2 linked regions of the Callithrix jacchus genome follow. The protein of the gene in region 1 interacts with the protein of each later gene in a biochemical or structural test. Links are inferred from orthologs where the notes say so. Each region holds a gene or a part of one and is shown on either strand. Other genes may lie near its edges.

What was found. The genes of interacting proteins can lie anywhere in the genome.
Region 2: the proteins of MAVS (region 1) and IRF3 form a complex in vitro, tested with the Homo sapiens proteins (2 studies listed by BioGRID). The link is inferred for Callithrix jacchus from reciprocal best matches to the Homo sapiens genes MAVS and IRF3.

What each region holds. Positions count from the first base shown.
Region 1 is NC_133506.1:11,366,549-11,376,655, forward strand, and holds the start of MAVS (mitochondrial antiviral-signaling protein), read left to right. Parts: upstream 1-3,629; 5' UTR 3,630-3,937; intron 3,938-4,314; exon of another isoform or gene 4,315-4,442; intron 4,443-8,979; 5' UTR 8,980-9,046; coding exon 9,047-9,163; intron 9,164-10,107.
Region 2 is NC_133523.1:43,426,096-43,436,138, forward strand, and holds the start of IRF3 (interferon regulatory factor 3), read right to left. Parts: upstream 5,378-10,043; 5' UTR 5,091-5,377; coding exon of another isoform or gene 5,084-5,090; 5' UTR 4,912-5,083; coding exon 4,818-4,911; intron 4,382-4,817; coding exon 4,209-4,381; intron 4,060-4,208; exon of another isoform or gene 3,978-4,059; intron 3,324-3,977; coding exon 3,152-3,323; intron 3,068-3,151; coding exon 2,997-3,067; intron 2,403-2,996; coding exon 2,210-2,402; intron 2,109-2,209; coding exon 1,728-2,108; intron 917-1,727; coding exon 801-916; intron 1-800. Other genes in the region: BCL2L12 (bcl-2-like protein 12), read left to right, coding at 6,195-6,301, 6,518-6,660, 8,389-8,475, 9,700-9,972.

The sequences.
Region 1 (10,107 bases):
GAGCCCAGGAGTTCAAGACCAACTTGAGCAATGTGGTAAGACCTTTGTTTATTTTTAAAATAAATAAATAAAAAATAAAGAATAACTGTTTAAAATATTATTCAAAATGAATTCATAAAGGTGGGATTATATTTTTAGTCTCAGTTTCCCGAAGGACTCACACCTGAGAACATGACCATGTTTGGGGCTCTCTGGCACTATCTTTGGGCCTGACCTCTGCTCTCTAGGGGGAAAATGAGCTGGTGGTTGCTGAGTCATCATGTATGGGTCACATCCTCCTTGGGAGGCCTGGAGACATGGGCCTGTCTGTGATGAGATTTAGTGGGCAGGGGGCAGCTCCAGGGCCCTCACTGGGGGCAGCCTAGGGCATAGATCACTCTCTGGACTTGCTCTTCTCCTAACAAATGGACAATGATCAATGAATTATACCCATGAAATAGGGTGGGACACAATAAAAAATAAAAGATAATATAAATAGCCAGATAGGGTCAAAGATGATTTATTTTACTTTATAATTTTGAAATGACTTCAGATTTACAACATAGTTGCAAAAATAATGCAAATGTTTACATCTTACATAACCCAGTGCAATGATCCTAACACTGACAGATAATCGTTAACTAATCCAAAAGCCTTATTCGGATTTTGCCTGATGTCCTTTTTCTGTTTCAGGATCCAACAAGGTTCCCATATTGCATTCAGTTATCATGTCACTTTGGTGTCCTTTTCTCTGGAGCAGTCGCTCAGTCTCCTTGTCTTTCCTGACCTTGAAATTTTTGAAGAGTTATTCTGCAGAGCGGTGCTATCCAATAGAACTTCCAGCAATCATGGAAATGTTGTTAGTGTTGCTCACTATGAAGCCATTAGCTACATGAAAATAGCATTTGAAATGTGGCTCGTGGGGCTCAGAAACTGGCTTCTAAGTATTATTTAATTTTAATTAAAATAGCTACATGTGGCTAGTAGCCACTGTATTGGACAGGACAGCTGTCAAATGTCCCTCATTTGGGGTTTGCTTACTGTTTCTCTATGAGTAGTTTCAGATCATGAGCTTTTGATAGGAATACCATAAGCATGTCGTTGTGTTCTTTATCTAAATTTTTATAAAAGCTGTTGAGGGCCTGGTATGGTGGCACATGCCTGTAATCCCAGCACTTTGGGAGGCTGAGGTGGGTGGATCATGAGGTCAGGAGATCCAGACCATCCTGGCCAATATGGTGAAACCCCGTCTCTACTAAAATACAAAAAAATTAGCTGGGTATGGTGGTGCACACCTGTAGTCCCAGCTACTCAGGAGGCTGAGGCAAGGGAATGTCTTGAAACCAGGTGGCAGAGGATGCTGTGAGCCGAGGTTGTGCCACTGTACTACAGCCTGGGCGACAGAGCAAGACTCCGTCTCAAAAAAAAAGCTGTTGACAGGTGACAGGGAACTACCTAGTCAGGCAGTGGGATTGTTTTAATGCCCTTTGAGGTCCAGCAAAGAAAGGAGTGATAGCCGCATTTGGAACCCTGTCCCAACACTTTCAATGTTCTTCCTCAAAGAATTAGATATGAAGCTGCTAGAGCACAGTGGGGAGCAGGCAAGATTGATTCTTGAACTAATCAACATTTATGCCCTCTTGGCTAAACTAGGCAGAGCTGGTTTTATTACAGTACAGACGTGAATAAGCACACTTTGTAAATGCTGAAGGTTGTGAAATATCCACAGGGCTATAAAGTACAGTATAAAAACCTCACCTGAGGCCGGGCCTGGTGGCTCATGCCTGTAATCCCAGCGCTTTGGGAAGCGGAGGCGGGTGGATCACCTGAGGTCAGGAGTTCAAGACCAGCCTGGCCAACATGGAGAAACCCCCTCTACTAAAAATAGAAAAATTAGCCGGGGGTGGTGGCGTGGGCCTATAATCTCAGCTGCTCAGGAGGCTGAGGCAGGAGAATTGCTTAAACCCAGAAGTAGAGGTTGCAGTGAGCAGAGATTGTGCCATTGCACTCCAGCCTCGGTGACAAGAGTGATACTCCGCCTCAAAACACTGGCTTTGGAGTCAAGCCTGTACTTAGGCATCTTAAGTCTTCTTTTTTAAAATTGCAGTATATAGTAACACATGACCTTCAGTGAGTGTACAGCTAATACATTTTTACATAGGCTTTAGCTCTGGTATGCAGTATATAGTAACACATGACCTTCAGTGAGTGTACAGCTAATACATTTTTACATAGGCTTTAGCTCTGGTACCCACCACTCACATCAAGATGTAGAATATTTCCACTCCCCTAGAAGGTGTGCATCCCTCCCCTCCCCCAATCGACATCCCCCAGAAATTACCAGTATTTAATTTATACTTATGTAGATTCGTTTTGTCTGTTTTTGAACTTTATATGACTGGAAGCAGACAGAATGTGCTCTTTAGTGTTTGGTTCCATTCACTAAGCACTATTTAGCTGCTGGTGCCCACTCAACTGTGGGAAGATCCTCCTATGTCTGTGTGTCAATAGTTTGTTCATTTTCACTGTGGTATACTATTCCATAGTGTGATTACACCATAGTTTGTCTTTCTGTTTTCCTGCTGATGACCATTTGCGTTTTCGGATTTTGCCTATCATGAATAAGTCAGTACAAACATTATCTAGGTGTATGTTTCTAGGTAGATATATACCCAGGGGCGAAATTGCTGGGTCATAGGATTAGCATACGTTTAACTTCAGTAACAACTGTCATTTTTCCAAATCTCTTTTTTCTTTTAAGATGAGGTTTCACCATGATGGCCAGGCAGGTCTTGAACTCCTGACCTCAGGTGATCCACCCACCTCAGCCTCCCAAAGTGCTAGGATTACAGGCGTGAGCCACCGCGCCCGGCTCCAAATCTCTTAAACTCTTTTTAAAACAGGAAGAATAAACCTACTCTACCTGATTATCGTGAGCGTATTTAATGAACTCTAAAGAATAAGGTTTTAAGCCTTGTGCCTGGAAGACAGTAGGTGCTCAATAAGTGCTGGCCTCTGCCCCAGCAGGGGAAAGGCGAGGCAGAAGGCAGGAACTGCGGGAGGTACCCGCCCCATACCGTTGGGCGGAAGAGGCCTCTCCCACGCAGCACTTAAGTCACCCCCAGCCTGCCCGTCAGCCAGTTTGGCGTGCCTGCCTTGGGCCTACCCACCCTGCATTCCGTCGCCCGCTCCCGTTCCCACAGGCCCGGCGTGCGCGTCTCCTGCCTAGGCATCCTTGCCCCTGTGACTTCAGCGTCTCCCAGCGTTTGCTGGACACTAACTGTATGCCAGGCCATGAGGCTGCAGGAGAGAACGACACGAAGATCCTCGCCCCTCAAAGCTCCCGGCAGGAGGAGGGGCTGCTTCACTTGAGAAGCGTGGGGATGGAATTCTCAGCCCGCCAATGACTCGGAGGCCGGCCGCCCGCCTGGTTTCTGGCCGGACACTGGACTTCCCCTGGAAGTTGCTCGAGACGAACAAGGGAAGAAAACAATCCGCTCTCCCGCGCCCCCAGCAGGAAATCAGGTCGATCCTCCGAGCCTAGTCCTGTGTGTCCCCGACCCGCAAACCAAGGCCCAGCGCCCGCCCCCGCCTCTCCGTCCCTGAGCCTCCAGCCAATCACGCGCGGCCGGGAAGCCCCGCACCCTCCTGTTGGCCAATGGCCGCGCGGCCTGCCTGCCCCGTCCCGTCGCTGCGGGGAGGGTCGTAGGCCCCGCGCGGCTGTCGCCAGGTCGCAGGGCCGGGGCTACCCGAGGTAAGATCGCCGCTGGGGCCCTTGGTCCTCTCTGCTCAGTACACACGGACGCCTTTAGGGAAGGTGGCTGCAGCGGAATGACCGCGTCAGCCGGGGCGCCCTGGGTCTGGGGCGCTCGGGGTTCGGGAAGAGCCGGCCCTGAGGCGCACGGGGTTCGGGGACACTGAGGGCTCCAGGCGCCGCATCCAGCACCGGGGAAAAGGGGTAGGTGGCGCTGGGCGTCTGCTCTGTCTGGGGGAAAGGTAGAGCCGGAAGGGCACGGGCAGTGGCCGCTGACCTCCTGCTGCCCGCAGGCCCAGGGTGACTCTAAGGGGGGGCCGAATCTCGACGGGCCGCGCCTTGGGCTCGAGTACTGCCGCCCTCCCCTGGGTGTGGACAGTTCTCGGCGGCGACACCAGCTCAGAAGAGCTTCCCGGCGCTCCGCGGACCTGGGTCTCGCCCAGGAATCCGATCCGAGGCTGTGAGGCCTGTCCCTTTCGGGAGGGTGGGTATTTATTTCCGGGACGCACTCAGAGCCTCTGGACAGTCAGGTCGGAAACTTTGCTGCATCGAGAACACTCTGTCACCTCCTTCCTTCTCAGATGGGAGAGGTGCCAGGAAAACAATGAAACAAACCAAAACAACGAAGAAGGCATTCTCTGTATGGAAGTCGTGAAGCCTCAAAACTATCTAGGAGGACAGCCAACGACTTGGGACCTGTGGCCGCAATGTGAGGGCAGGGTTAATGTCTGATCTAAATGTTGCTTCCTCCCAAGTGCACCCTCAGCCTCTCCCCACAAGTGACCTTGGGCCCTCTTTGGGCTTGAAGGCAGGTGGCTCTGTGGGCCTCACTTGCTGCAGGGGTCTCTGTGCCCTGCAAGGTGTATGACCAGCTGCAGTGAGGTAGGAGATTCTGGGTTCAAATCCTGTGCTAGCCTCTGGCCAATTGTGCACCTTGGCATCACTTCCCCTGTCACGGGACTGGGGAAGGATTAACTAAAAGAACCTTAGGATGTGCTTGTCTACAGTTGGCCCTCAATAAATGTGAACAGACGTGGGCTTCCTTTCCTTTTGGTTGGGCTACATCATCCCCTCCCCTCCATGTGTGTTGTAGGGGCTGAGGCTAGAGTGCCTCATCTGATTGCCTCCTGGTACCTGGCTGATGCCATGAGAAAGGAAGAAGAAACAGTGTTTTGTTTTTTTTTTTTAATGGAGTCTCACTCTGTTGCCCAGGCTGTAGTGTGATAGCCTGATCTCAGCTCACTGCAACCTCTGCCTCCCAGGTTCTAGAGATTCTCATGCCTCAGCCTCCCAAGTAGCTGGGAGTACAGGTGTCTGATGCCATGCCTGGCTAATTTTTGTATTTTTAGTAAAGACCGGGTTTTACCATGTTGGCCAGGCTGGTCTCAAACTCCTTACCTCAAGTGATCTGCCTGCCTTGGCCTCCCAAAGTGCTGGGATTACAGGCATGAGCCACCATGCTTGGCCAAGAAAGGGGTCTATTAACTGTCACAGAGTTGGTTTTTGCTCTTTTTTTTTTTTTTGAGACGGAGTCTTGCCCTGTCCCCAGCTGGAGTGCAGTGCATGATCTTGGCTCACTGCAACCTCCACTTCCCGGGTTCAAGTGATTCTCCTGCCTCGGCCTCCCAAAATGCTGGGATTATAGGTGTGAGCCACCATGCCCAGCACTTTGCTCATTTCTTGAAGGCTCAGAGCCTGACCCTCCTGAACTGTCCTTTGCACTTGGCCCACAAGGAATGCAGCAGTGCCTGGTGGTTGGCAAAGCAAGTTGTGCATGTGAGACTCTGAGGCCTGTGACAAGACTGTTTCCCCTGTGAGTGGGGTTTGGTGGCCCAGCAGCTTTCAGGTGCTGTCTGCTCCGCAGCACTGCCTCCTAGAGGTCTCATGCTTGCCTGATGCCCACTTGGTCCTCTTCTGCCTCCTTCCCTCCCTGACAGCCCACTAGGAATCCAATAGCATCTCAAGCTTCACTGTTCAAAACTGAGTTCTGGAGTTCCTTCTGAGCCACTCCTCCTCCCCTGGCTTCTCTGCTCTGGTAAATGGGCACCTGCCATCTACCCAGTGCCTAAGGAGTCATCCTTGATTTTTTTCTCTCCCTTATCTCCTACACCCTCAAAACACCAGAAATCTGGCTGCCTCCTGCCAACTCTGTAGTTTCCATCCTGGCCATAATCATCCTGTCTCCTCGGCTGTGGCCTCCTGACTGGTCTCCCAGTTTTCATCCTGGCCCCTCCACAGTTCTCACAATTGTCAGAGAAGTCTTTAATGTAAATCAGATCCTCTTCTTTCCCTGCCAGAACCTTCCAATTGGTCCCTGTTTCACTCCAACTAAAACCCAGAGTCCTTTCCTACAGCACCCTACGTGAGTGGTCCCTTTTACCTCCTTGACCTTCATCTTGCCCCTCTCCCTAGCTTTCTTAACCTTGACCACACTGACCTGCTTTCTATTCTTCAAACATGCCAAGTTCATCCCACTTTAGGACTTTTGCATTTACCATGCCCTCTGCCAAAAACACCAATCTTCTCAGAGCCTTAGAACGGCTCAGCTGTGTTCTTAACACTAGTTCAGAAAGGCTTCTTTGACCCCCTAGTTCAAGTAGCATGCCTGTCTCCAGGGGATGTGTCTCTTTACCTGCTTTATTTTCTTTAGAACCTTTATTGCTATCTGGAATTCTTATTTGGGTAAGAATTTACTGATCTGTTATTTGTTCCGCACCGGTAGAATATAAATTGGATGTGGCACAGACCTTGTCTCTTATTCCCTGCAGCATTCCCTGATGGGGGAGGCAAAAAAGAAACAAGCAAAAACATCTATAATTGCAAATTGTGGTAACTCCTACTAAACAACTGGTAGCAATAGCTTATATTTGAGGCCCTTAATTTTTTTTTTTTTTTTTTTAGACAGAGCTCCATTCTGTTGCCCAGGCTGAAGTGCAATGGCACGATTTTGGCTCACTGCAACCTCTGACTCTCGGGTTTAAGCAATTTTCTTGCCTCAGCCTCCTGAGTAGCTGGGATTGCAGGCGACCGCCACAATGCCCAGCTTAGTTTTTTGTATTTTTAGTAGAGATGGGGTTTCTCCATGTTGGCCAGGCCGGTCTCAAACTCCTGACCTCAGGTGATCCATCTACCTTGTCCTCCCAAAGTGCTAGGATTACAGGTGTGAGCCATGGCACCTGGCTGGCACTTAAAATTTTTAAACTTAGGCCGGCCACAGTGGCTCACACCTGTAATTCCAGCACTTTGGGAGGCCAAGGCAAGCGGATCACTTGAGGTCAGGAGTTCGAGACCAATCTGGAAAACATAGTGGAAACCCTGTCTCTACTAAAAAATACAAAAATTGGCCAGGCACGGTGGCCCACAACAACAAACAAAAAAGTTAGCCAGGTGTGATGGTGGGCTCCTGTAATCCCAGCTACTTGGGAGGCTGAGGCAGGAGAATTGCTTGAACCTGGGAGGCGGAGGCTGCAGTGAGCCTGGATCACACCACTGTACTCCAGCTTGGATGACAGAGGGAGACTCTGTCTCCAAAAAAAAAATAGACTTAGAAGGCTGAGTTACTGTACTGTCAAAACAAGCTATCTGAGCCATTTTAAGGGTGAGGAAAAGTCTGGAAACTGGTAACTTGCCCAGGACACACAGTGAATTCAAGGCATGGAACTCAGTCTCCCATCTTAAGAATGTATGTGGGCCGGGAGCGGTGTCTCAAACCTGTAATCCCAGCACTTTGGGAGGCCAAGGTGAGTGGATTACCTGAAGTCTGGAGTTTGAGACTAGCCTGACCAACATGGAGAAACCCCGTCTCTATTAAAAATACAAAATTAGCCTAGCATGGTGGCACATAATCCCAGCTACTTGGGAGGCTGAGGCAGGAGAATGCCTTGAACCCAGAAGGCAGAGGTTGTGGTGAGCTGAAATTGCACCATTGCACTCCAGCCTGGGCAACAAGAGTGAAACTCTGTCTCAAAAAAAGAGAGAATGTATGTGTAGCAGGCTTTAATGGCAGGCCTGCAGCTATGTCATGGAAAGAAGATGACCTGAAGATCTCAGTTCTTTGCTCTTCTACTAACTAGCAAGCATACCTCATTTTCTTCTTTAAAGTAGGATGAGCCTATTATTATCATGTTGGGCTTCACTTTTAATTTTTTCAGTATGTCCCAAAGCAGCAGCACTTTTAGGTACAGCCCTCTTGCGTATCAGCTTGAGGGCCTTAGAGCCAGGAGGAAAGCCAGGACATTCATAGGCACCGAAACTATGGTTACATACAGATCCCTCTACCACATGTGCTAGGAGTACACGCAGACCTCCCCAATGCTGACCACCCTACAGGACAGAAATGGGCCCTAGGTATTCTGGATCTGATTCTTTTTGGTCATCAACTATTTTTATTTTTTATTTTTTTTAGAGACAGGGTTTTGCTGTGTTGCCCAGGCTGGCCTCAAACACCTGGGCTCAAGAGATCCACCTGCCCTAGCTTCTCTAGTAGCTGCTGGTCATCAATTCATTTTTAGCAAATTCTGCGGGAACCTTGGAGAGACCCAGGCAGTAATAAAATAGGATGTTTAAAGAAACTAAAGATGGCTGAGCACAGTGGCTGACACTTACAATCCAAGCTACTTGACAGGCTGAGGCAGGAGGATCACTTGAGGCCAGGAGTTTGAGACCAGACTGGGCAACATGACAAGACCCTGTCTCTAGAAAAATTTTAAAAATTAGCTGGGTGTAGTGGCACAAGTCTGTAGTTCCAGCTACCTAGAATGCTGAGGCGGCAGGATTGCTTGAACGCAGGAATTTGAGGCTGCACCACTGCACCCAACTGGGGTAACAGAGTGAGACCCCATGTCTTAACAACAAAAAAGGTGGGCGTGGTGGTTCACGCCTGTAATCTCAAATCCTGGGAGACTGAGGTGGGTACATCACTTGAGGTCAGGAGTTTGTGACCAGCCTAGCCAACATGGTAAACCTACATCTCTACTAAAAATACAAAAATTAGATGGGCATGGTGGTTCACACCTATCATCTCAGCTACTTGGGAGGCAGAGGCAGGAGACACAATTGAACTCAGGAGGCAGAGGTTGCATTGAGCTGAGATTGCACCACTGCACTCCAACCTGGGTGATGCTGTCTCAAAAAAAAAAAAAATTTAAAAATGAAAGAAAACAAAAATTCCAAAAAGTTGAGAAATAATTGCCTTTTGTCCAGCCCCACTCCCAACCATGTGTAATATGTCATCTGTTTTCTTCCAGTCTCATTTCCTGTCCGTCCATCCACCCTTCATGGGGCCAGAGCCCTCTCTCCAGAATCTGAGCAGCAATGCCGTTTGCTGAAGACAAAACCTATAAGTATATCTGCAGACATTTCAGCAATTTTTGCAATGTGGATGTTGTAGAGATTCTGCCTTACCTGCCCTGCCTCACAGCAAGAGACCAGGTGAGCCAGCAAAATGACAGCCAGACACTGGCCTGGGGACAGGGCTGTGGAATCCAAAGCTCAGCCCCATCCTAGTTCCTCCCCCAAGCCAGAGCCGGCTCCTTCTCCCTCTTGCTGTGTCTTGTTCCTTGTCCTTGCTGCTTTTCTAACTTTTGGATGAAGTGTGGCTCAGGGTGGCGTTGCTGACTTCACCGAGCTCCGCCTTGTGTTGCTTTTGCGAACTGCTCAGAAATATGGTGCTGGCTCTCCTGAGATTTCCTGGCTCTGGTCCACTTGCCCACTGTTTTTAGAACCTTCTGTTTCCTTCATCTCTCTTGCCGTGCCTTGTCCTGCTCAGTTTTGATTCCATTCTCCTTGTCATGGGGCCCTGTCCTGGCAGGGAGCTGAGACTCAGGTTTGAGAGCTGGCAGGAGCCAGGTCGCTCTTGCCCCGGCACTTGCTAGCTGGTGAAGTGGGCACAATCTCTCCCCATTCAATTGTAGCTGCTGTTCTCAGGTTGGACCCCTGTGCTCCAGAGGGAACCTGTTGGCTCTTTTGGGGACTCCTGTCCTCAGGTTTCTCAGGAGCCCTATTGTCTCCGGCATCCTCCACACAGATCGAATCAGTATGCAGGTCTGTTTGGGGTTTGCCCCTCCCTCTTGTATTTTGGGAATTATAGGGATATCTTGTTTTGTAGTAAATATTTTCTGTGGGTTTGATTTTCTTTTTTTAATATTTTTTGAGATGGACTCTTGCTCTCTCGCCCAGGCTGCACTGTAATGGTGCAGTCTCAGCTCACTGCAACCTCCACCTCACAGGTTCAAGTGATTCTTGCACCTCAGCCTCCCGAGTAGCTGGGGTCTCAGCCACGTGCCACCATGCCTGGCTAATTTTTGTATTTTTATTTTTAGTAGAGACAGGGTTTCACCATGTTGGCCAGGCTGGTTTTTATTTTTATTTTCGAG
Region 2 (10,043 bases), on another chromosome or scaffold:
GGAGTTTTGCTCTTGTTACCCAGGCTGGAGTGCAATGGCACGATCTCAGCTCACTGCAACCTCCGCCTCCTGGGTTCAGGCAATCCTCCTGCCTCAGCCTCCTGAGTAGCTGGGATTACAGGCTTGAGCCACCGCGCCCGGCCAAGTTTCCCCTCTTTACACACACACGCGTGTGCGTGTGCCAGGCCAGAGTGCTCCCAGGAGTCAAGGCTGAGCAATCTATGATCCTGACTCCTGGAGCCACAGCCATGGCCTCACAATGGCAGCTAGGACTTGGTGTCCACCAGCTTCTACATGGTTTAGAGCAGGGGTCCCCAACCCCATCACCTGCTAGGAACCAGGGCACAGCAGGGCATGAGCAGTGGGTGAGGGAACATTACTGCCTGAACTCGGTCTTCTCTCAGATCGGTGGCATTAGATTCTCACAGGAGCACAAACTCTTTGTGAACTGTGCACAAGAGGGACCTAGATTGTTCCTTATGAGAATCTAATGCCTGATGATCTGCAGTGGGGCAGTTTCTTCCCAAAGCCACCCCCTCCCTTTCTGTGGAAAAATTATGTTCCATGAGACTGGTCCCTGGTGCCAAAATGCTCGGGGACTGCTGGTTTAGAAAGTTGAAAACAGGCTCTGCTGGTGGGGCCATGGGAAGGAGCTCCTGGGGATGAACAGCTGGTTACTGCAGGGCTCTTGGAAGTTGCAGCTTTTTGGAGGGCCTTCTGGGAGTTGCAGTTCCTGGGAGCAGCCTCTTCCCTCTGTAAGGCCACCCCTCTCAGCCCCAGGGACTCAGGGCTACAGGCACCTTGACCATCACGAGCCTCTTGGTCCATGGCTGGTCCTGGGGCCATGGCTCCCCAACACAGAACCAGAGGGTATAGCGTGGTGAGCGTCCGCTTCCTTCAGTGAAGGTAATCAGATCTGGGAACCCAGAAGCCTAGTCAGGGGTGAGAAGAGGTCCCTCTACCCCTGCTTCCCCATAAACTTGAAAATAGCACCCCCTACCTCCCCCGACCTGAGGCCCTCTGCTACCTCCACCAGGGAATGCTTGTTTGGGGAAAGTCCCCATGATCCTGTTTTTGTACTTAATCCCTCCCTCCCGTCAGGGTGGGATTGTTGGAAGGTTGAACCCCCCCAGCCCCCAAGCCTCAGCATTCATGACAGGTCCAGAGTAGGGGCCCATTCCCCCAAGGATGCTCAGTGAATCTGGAGAAGCTGGTTGCCATTTAGTCTCCTCCAAGGCTGCACTAATTGCAGCCATCGGCAATGTGAGGTCACTTAAGTTTAAACTGTAACTAATTAAAGCGAACCACGTCCTGGTGGCACGGGCCTCACCTGAGTGCTTGGGCCCTGTAGCTAGTGGCTGCTGTACCAGGCAGCGTAGGTGGCCATTTCCATCATCGTGGAGCGCTCCGCCGCAGAGCGACTCCCTAAGGCACGCAGCTTTCCTGCTGTTTGCTCTATCCACCATCATTAGTTACGATGATGGTGACAGTGGGAGCTAATTCCTGAGCACGCTCTACGTACTCGGCCTGGGTCTCACCCCAGCGCTGGCAGGCAAGTAGAGAGAAGAGACCGTCCTCGGATTCCGTGGGCTCAGGGCAAAGTCCTTTCCCTCGGGTTATACAGTCGGAGGAGCACAGCCAGGGTCTGAATTCAGTCCTAATCCTGAGATCTTAACCACTAATGGGCTGCTTCCTCCTGGGCAGGGCAAAGCCCCCATCTCACTTACCTACAATGAAGGGTCCCAGGTCGAGCACGCCTCCTTCCTTGTCCTTGGGAACCTCGCCATCAGGCCCATTCCCACTGTTGGGGAGCAACTCCTCGCTCACTGCCCAGTACGTGTGGCACTGCCCCAGCCGCTGGGCCCAGAGCTGCTGTCCGGCCTGCCACAGAGCCAGTCCCCCACCCAGGCGGCTCAGCACGTGCCTCACATAGGTCATCACGCCCTTGTCTGTCAGGGATGCGCCAGGGTCTGGCAGTGTGATGGGCCATCCAGGCAGCGTCCTGTCTGCCACTTCCGACCCCACCAGCCGCAGGCCCCCTGGGCAGGAGATGGTCTGCTGGAAGACTTGGCGGCCCCGGTAGAAGGCTGTCACCTCGAACTCCCACTCTGAGCAGCGGCAGTAGCAGCGTGAAGGGGAGAAGGATTGAGAGAGTGTCAGGGACTGCTACCCAGACCTCAGCCCCTCCTATCCGGCAGCTGACCCTCACCTTCCCCCGGCACCAGCAGCCGCCTCAGTGGATTCTCAGAGGGCTCCGGGTTTGGGAAGGGCGTGGGATTATCCAAGCTGGGGCTCAGCAGGGGCTGAGGGTAGGGCTCAGGGGCTACAGCCAGGCCTGGTGGTCCCGAATCTGGGAGTGGGGCCAAGACCATGTTACCCAGTAACTCATCCAGAATGTCTTCCTAGAGGGAAACAAAAAGAGAATTAGGCATTTCCACAGCCTTTTCTGGAGACTAAATGTGGACCAGGTCTGTTCTCAGCAGTGCAGGGAGGTCAGGCTTGAGCTCTGCTTTCAGAGGGCTTCCAGTCTGGGGACAGTGGCAGCCACGGGCATCAATAGCCAAATAGACACTCTAATGAATGCCACATGCTACCATTCCAACCCCAGGATCTGGCTTTCTGCAGGCAAGGCCTGGGCAGAATTTCAGAGGGGATGCTCCCCTGGCTCTGACAGCGGCAGGATCAAGGGGAGGGAGGGAGGTTTTCAGTTCCCAAGAGGCTGACAGACAGCCGTCCCCCCACTCCCCCCCTCCCCCCGCCAATCAAGGATCTACAGGAAATCCCGGGAAGGCGTGTCAAATGCAAATTGAGTGCCTTCAATGCCAAGTGAAGACTGAATTTTCTCCTGAGGAGACTGGAGCATGGGACAGACAGGGCCAGCACTGGCTCAGGTGAGGGGCAGACGAGGTGAGGGAGGCGCACTGGTCCACAGGGAGAGGATGAGTCCATGGGAACAGGACAGACAGTGGGGGCGTGAAGGTTGGGCACATTCTTACCTGGGTATCAAAAGTACTGCCTCCGCCACTGGTGTCTGGAGATGTGTCTGGCTGGGCAAAGTTCCCAACTGCTGTTGAGAAAGGTGTTGAAGTGGCTAGGGGTGCCAGGAACCCTTGGGACCCCAGCCTCCCACACTGACCCCGATCTGGCAGACCTGAGTTCACAAACTCGTAGATCTTATGTGGGTCGTGAGGGTCCTTGCTTCGGTCATCTGCTAAACGCAATCCATCTTTGCGGTTGAGGGCAGAACGGAAATTCCTCTTCCAGGTTGGCGGGTCTGGCTTATCTCTCCCGGGAACGTATGCACCAGTGGCCTCAGCCCAGGCCTGGGGCAACAGTGGTGTGAGGATAGTGAGAGAGGACGACCTAGATCCTGTCCCGGAGCCCCAACCCTGTCTCCGGCATCCTAACACCACCCTCTTTCCCTGGCAAGTTGTAACTCTGCAAGGTCCATCCCCAAATCCCCCCATCCCACCTACCTCCATCCCCACCTCTAGTTTTCTAGAATGATCTGCCTGCCTCAGCCTCCCAACGTGCTGGGATTACAGGCGTGAGTTACCGCGCCCCGCCTCTTCAAAAGCCTTTGAAACCTCTTTTGTTTTTAACGAGACGGGGCCTGTGTTGCCCAGGCTGGTCTCAAACTCCGGGGCTCAAGCGATCCTCTAGCCTCGGCCTTGCCAAAGTACTGGGATTCTATGTGAACCACCGCGCCCCCCAAAAACCTTTTCTTTCTAAGCCAGGCTTTCAAGTCCTACTAACCCCGTGCACCACCTGCCTCAGGACACCCTCGGTGATAACCTCGTCCCTCACACTGTTTACCACGTCTGGCTTATACTAATTCGGTGGTTAGGAACCCCAGATTTGGGGCTCCAAGTCTCACCTCTGATGTTTCAAGAACAATCCCCCAGGATCCTACTACTAGGAACCCCGGCCCCTAGAGAGCTCCAAACCCATAGGATGCATTTTCATTGCGTACTAACCCGGCTCTCCCAGTTCTAGTTCTATTCCCGGAACCGGCAACTCCGACCCTCCCGGCGCCCCCATCAGTCAGCTGATCCGGCTAGCCCCGCCCCTCCCGTTCTGGCCCCACCCACCAGCGTTGACACGAGCCCGCCCCTCGCGCGCTACCGCCGCCTTCTCAACCCTGCCTCTCGGAGTCTTTCCCGCCCAGCGCGCAGCTCCTGGTTTCCAGCGTCCCTGGTCGCACGCACCTGGAAGATTCCGAAATCCTCCTGCTGTGCATCATGCCGTAGACCGTGTTTCCAAGGGATGCGGAAGCGCGTGCGGCTCTCATTCACCCAGGCCACACCCTCCAGCTGCCCCAGATTCAGCTGCAACTCCAGCCAGGGCAGGATCCGTGGCTTTGGGGTTCCCATGGTCCGGCCTGCGCGTACAGGGCATTTCCTGGGCGCGGCCGGCCTCTCCTGGACCCACCTGGCCTGGAGTTTCCGCGCCCAGAACTCCCTGTCATGGGCTACGGCACAGGTCCTTCACCCATGTTTTCGGGGGTACAAACAGGAAACCTCCTCTTCCCATCCTCCCATCCGCCAGAGAGGCTCCCTAATCAGCTAGGGTTCCTTCCCCTATCCATGGCACACCCTTCCCCAGCGACTTCAGTACAGACCCTCCACTCCCTCAATTCTGCCAGTGTAGACCCCCTCTTTCCCCATATCGAAAGCAAGTAACCCCACTTTCAGGGTAACATCTCTTTCCCTAGCTATGTCAGTGCAGAATCGATTCACTTGTAAGCCTCTACCGCCTGCACTTAGCCCAGTGTAGACCCCCTTCCACAGTCCCCCTAGAGAAGATCCCCTACCTACTTCCAACGCAGAACCTCCATCCACAATGCTCCCTCGACTGCCAGCCTCCCTCCTCCAGAGCACGCCTCAGCTTTCGAGAGCGAACTGCCCGCATCTGCGGAGTCCACCCCTCCCTCTCTAGATCTCCCTCAGTGTAGACGCCTCCTCTTTCTCTTCCCTCCCTACTTTTTCTAGTTTTTCTGCAACAGACCTCCAGCGCCGGCCACTCCCTCCTTTCTCCACTTTCCCCAGATTATACAGCCTGCCTTTCCACTTTCCGTACAGACCCATCATCTTTCCCGCTCCTCGTTCTCGAACGCCACCAACGCTCTCCCGGGCTCTTCCGCGTTACCTACGATGGAAGGTCGGGGCGTGCGGGGAGCTGGAGCCCACCCGTCTTGGGGCTCCGGGTAGCTCTCAAACTCGAGGCTGAACACCCGCTTTCCCGTCAGCTGAGTTCTAGAGCGCTGGGACTTTCTTTTCCAACGACTTCTTGAAATAAAAACAACTTTATCATTCTTTGAGTGACAGAACCCAGAGCCGAAGGGACAGGCCGTAGGGCCCGGGCTGTCCCCGCCCCCATGCCCTTTTTCGGCTTTCCGGCCAGAGGCATGCTGGGAGCGTCAAATGCAAATTGAGCGTGCAGCCAGCGTTCCGCCTTTTCTACGTTGGGCCGGTTACCCACCCGGCCCAGTGCGCAGGGGCGGGAAAGTTGACCTAGAAAGTTTTGTACGAGTTGAGTGAAGAAGGCGGCAAGTTGAGTGGAGGTGGCGGCGGTGGGGCCCCGGACCAGGTCAGCGGAGTGTTGCCGAGGGTCGGGGTGTGGAGGGAAGAGGAGGCGGCCGGGATGCAGGAGTGAGAACCCAGTCCCGCTTCTCCGACATCCAAGTGTATATTCCAGGAGCAGGAGATTTGGAAATACACCTCCCAGCAGGCTGTGCGGCGAAGAAGCGGGGACCGAGGAGAAGATTTGCCGTAAAGCCTGCTGGGATTGGTAGTTCCCGATGCTTTAAGAGTTTGAGTAGTTCGGCATATACCTCTTTCAGAATCCAGGAGTTGGGGCGCTAAGCCCCTTCTCCCTGGGAGACATAAGGGTCAGGGGCTCCAGTTCCTTTCTCTCTAAGACTCAGGAATCTAGGACCCTAGCTCCCTCCTCCTTTAGGTCCACGAATCTGGGCACCCACCCCCTAGCTTTCCTTGGATTAATGAGTCTGTCCTGTTCCCTCTTCTGTCTGAGGACTCAAGAGTCTAAGCGCCCAGACCCACACTCTCCAAAGGACCCAGGAGTCCGGGCCCTCATCACCTTCCTTGGGACTCACAACTCCCGGTCCTCAAGCCTCCACTTCTCGATAAATCCTTGGAGTTCAGTCCCTAGCCCCCTCTCTCATAGGTGCCTCCATGGCAGGCTCAGAAGAGCTGGGTCTCCGGGAAGACACGCTGAGGGTCCTAGCTGCCTTCCTCAGGCGTGGTGAGACTGCCGGGTCTCCTGTTGCAACTTCACCCAGGTAACAGGAGTTGTGCTTCTCCCCGAGGGGCCAGGATTTGAGGCCCCCTCCTAACTCTTGCTCCTGGTCTCAGTCTCTCTCCTCTCTTTATATCTGACTCTATTCTCTGTCTTTGGGGTTTTGGAGAGAGGTCCTCAGTGGGGGAGGGAGTGAGTTGAGAAAAGTGACTTACAGAGGATCTCTGGTGGGGTCACTCTCTGAAGTCCTCCTCCCCAGAAGCCCTGCCCCAGAAGAGCCAACAGACTTCCTGAGCCGCCTTCGAAGATGTCTTCCCTGCTCCCTGGGGCGAGGAGCAGCCCCCCCTGAGTCCCCTCGGCCTTGCTCTCTGCCCATCCGCCCCTGCTACGGTTCAGAGCCTGGTAAGAGATTTCCATGATCATCTGTGAAAGTGGCAGAACATGGGATAAGGTAGTAGTTTAAGATTATTTAACTATGACCAGGCACGGTGGCTCATGCCTGTAATCCCAGCACTTCGGGAGGCCAAAGTGGGCGGATCACAGGCGGTCAGGAGTTCAAGACCAGCCTGGCCAACATGATGAAACCCCATCTCTACTAAAAGTACAAAAATTAGCCTGGCGATAGTGGCAGGTGCCTGAAATCCCAGCTACTCAGGAGTCTGAGGCAGGAGAATCACTTGAACCCAGGAGGCGGGGGTTACAGTGAGCCAAGATTGTGCCACTGCACTCCAGCCTGAGCAACAAGAGCAAGACTGTCTCAAAAAAAAAAAATAGGCCAGGCGCGGTGGCTCAAGTCTGTAATCCCAGCACTTTGGGAGGCCGAGGCGGGTGGATCATGAGGTCAAGAGATCGAGACCATCCTGGTCAACATGGTGAGACCCCCATCTCTACTAAAAATACAAAAAGTTAGCTGGGCATGGTGGCACGTGCCTGTAATCCCAGCTACTCGGGAGGCTGAGGCAGGAGAATTGCCTGAACCCGGGAGGCGGAGGTTGCGGTGAGCCAAGATCGCGCCATTGCACTCCAGTCTGGGTAACAAGAGCGAAACTCTGTCTCAAAAAAAAAAAAAAAAAAAATAGAAGATCACTCAGCTAGTGAGTGGCTTTGTGGAGTCTTTGACACCAGCCTTCAGGACGGAACCTGTCCTCTCCCCTCCCTAGTCAGATTTCTGCCAGTTCTGTGGGTTGGTTTTCAGAGAGCATTTGGTCGCTCTGGCTGTTGTCTCTTTGCTTCTATAACTACTTCCCTGCCCTAGGACTTTTGTAGCCAGGAATACCCCTGATAGAGAGGCAGGAGAGGTTTTCCATCACGTCACCCTGGCTGTTTTAGTTGTGTGACTCTAGGGAAAATGCTTGCTGCCCGGCTCCCCTGTTTTTCCATAACAGTGTAGGAATTGAGAGGAGATCACTGGACTTGATCAAGAGTAACCAACAAGCTTCCTCGTAGGTGTGAACCTGGATGCACTAGTTATGGCTGCTGGGAGTGCTAGCTTGAAAGCGGTTCACAGCTAGGGAGAGGAAGTGCTGTGATCAATTGGTGATGTCTGAAGTGGGTGAGGGAAGGGGATACTAACAGTAGTGTCTTGTGTTTGCCTTCCTTGGATGAGATCATCTTCGAGGTCTAGTTCAGCTCTGACCATCTTTTGGAGACAGAATCTTGCTCTGTCACCCAGGCTGGAGAGCAGTGGTACAATCTCGACTCACTGCAACCCCCACCTCCTGGATTCCAGCGATTCTTGTGTCTCAGCCTCCCAAGTGCCTGGGATTACAGGTGCACACCAGCATACCAGTTGATTTTTGCATTTTTAGTAGACACAGGGTTTCCCATGTTGGCCAGGCTGGCCTCAAACTCCTGGCCTGAAGTGACCCTCCCATGTTGGCCTCCCAAAGTGCTGGGATTGCAGGCATGAGCCACTGCACCCGGCCAACTCTGACGTTCTAAGTCCAGTCTGAGGATATGATAAAGTGAAAAGTGCAAGGGTTTTGACATTTTTTACCAAGTTTTCTCACTGGGCCTCAGTTTACCCCATTATAAAATGAGAATCATTGCCACCTGCCAAAGTAGTCGGGGGAAGGAGAGAATCTATGTTTCCAGTGTCCTGGAATCCTGTCATGAACTCTCTTTACCCAGGCCCAGCTACTCCAGACTTTTATGCCTTGGTGGCCCAGCGGCTAGAACAGTTGGTTGAAGAGCAACTAAAATCTCCATCTAGCCCAGGTGAGGCGCAGAGGGGCCCCAGAGAAGGATGGGGGTAGGAGGATAGTCAGGGTTTGGCCCCCAGCCAAATTCTCTTCTGCCTGCAGAGTTACAGGGTCCCCCGCTCACAGAGAAGGAAGCCCTACTGCGGAGGCTGGTGGCCCTGCTGGAGGAGGAGGCAGAAGTCATTAACCAAAAGGTGATGGGCGTCTGTCCCACCCCTTGGCAAGGACAGGAGTTACGGAATGGTGGGGCACTGGGATCAGAAGCTAGATCTGTATTTTCTTTGGATGGTCAAGTGGAGAGAGGGTAGGACAACGTTTAATGAAGGGTTGAGGCCAGGAGAGGTGGCTCACGCCTGTAATCCCAGCACTTTGGGAGGCCAGGATAGGCGGAACACCTGAGATCAGGAGTTTAAGACCAGCCCGGCCAACACGGTGAAACCCTGTCTCTTCTAAAAATACAAAAATTAGCCGGGTGCAGTGGCTCACACCTGTAATCCCAGCTGGCTGAGGCGAGAGAGTCACTTGAGCCCAGGAGGCAGAGGTTGCAATGAGCCAAGATACTGCCACTGCACTCCAGCCTGGGCGACAGAGCAAGACTCTGTCTCAAAAACAAAGAAAGAAAAAAGAATGGTTGAATGACAGCAGTGTGGTTAGGATAGTGCTGTACTGTAAATTAGGGGTTTTGATCGTTAGAGGGGCGTGGCCTAAATGCAGAGGGTGTGGTCATGGTCTGGAAGAGATTGGCCAAGTCGGGAAAGAATGAATGTGGGGATTGGGGGAGTGTCTAAAATCTCACTGAGCATAGGATGTGGCCTGGCTTAGGAGGCGTGGCTTGTGGCTGTGTCTTGAAATCTATTGGCTCGGGAGCTTGGGCAGGATACATGAACCTCTCGTATTAATTGAATGGTAGAGGGCAAGGTTGTTGTAGACACTAGGTTGGCCCCTGGGAAAGGGCACTGGGGGCGTGACTAGATTAACTCAGTTACAGCAGAGATTGACCCTGATCGGCTGTGGCGGCAAGGAAAGGGGCGTGGCTTAGCAACTCAGGTTCCCGGCCCGTATCCTGGGGGTAGTTTGGCCGAGACCCTAGAGTCTGACGTGATTGGCTGATATGAATGAGGGATGGCCTAGAGTTTTAGCATCTAGAAGTGTCCTGAACCGGGGAACCACGCCTCCCAGCTCCATGTTGGCTGGTCCCTGGGGCGCAGCTGACGCTGACCCTGCCTCTTCCACCCCACAGCTGGCCTCGGACCCCGCCCTGCGCAGCAAGCTGGTCCGCCTGTCCTCCGGCTCTTTCACTCGCCTGGTGGAGCTGTTCTGCAGCCGGGAGGACCGATCTCGCCCAAGCCCAGCATGCCCTGGGCCCCCGCCTCCTTCTCCGGAGCCCCTGGCCCGCCTGGCCCTGGCCATGGAGCTGAGCCGGCGCGTGGCCGGGCTGGGGGGCACCCTGGCCGGACTCAGCGTGGAGCACGTGCACAGCTTCACGCCCTGGATCCAGGCCCAGGGGGGCTGGGTGAGCCACTGAAGCCTCTCTCTCTGGGCCTCGCTTTACCCAACTGTCATGAGATAGAGGAGGGGTGGGGG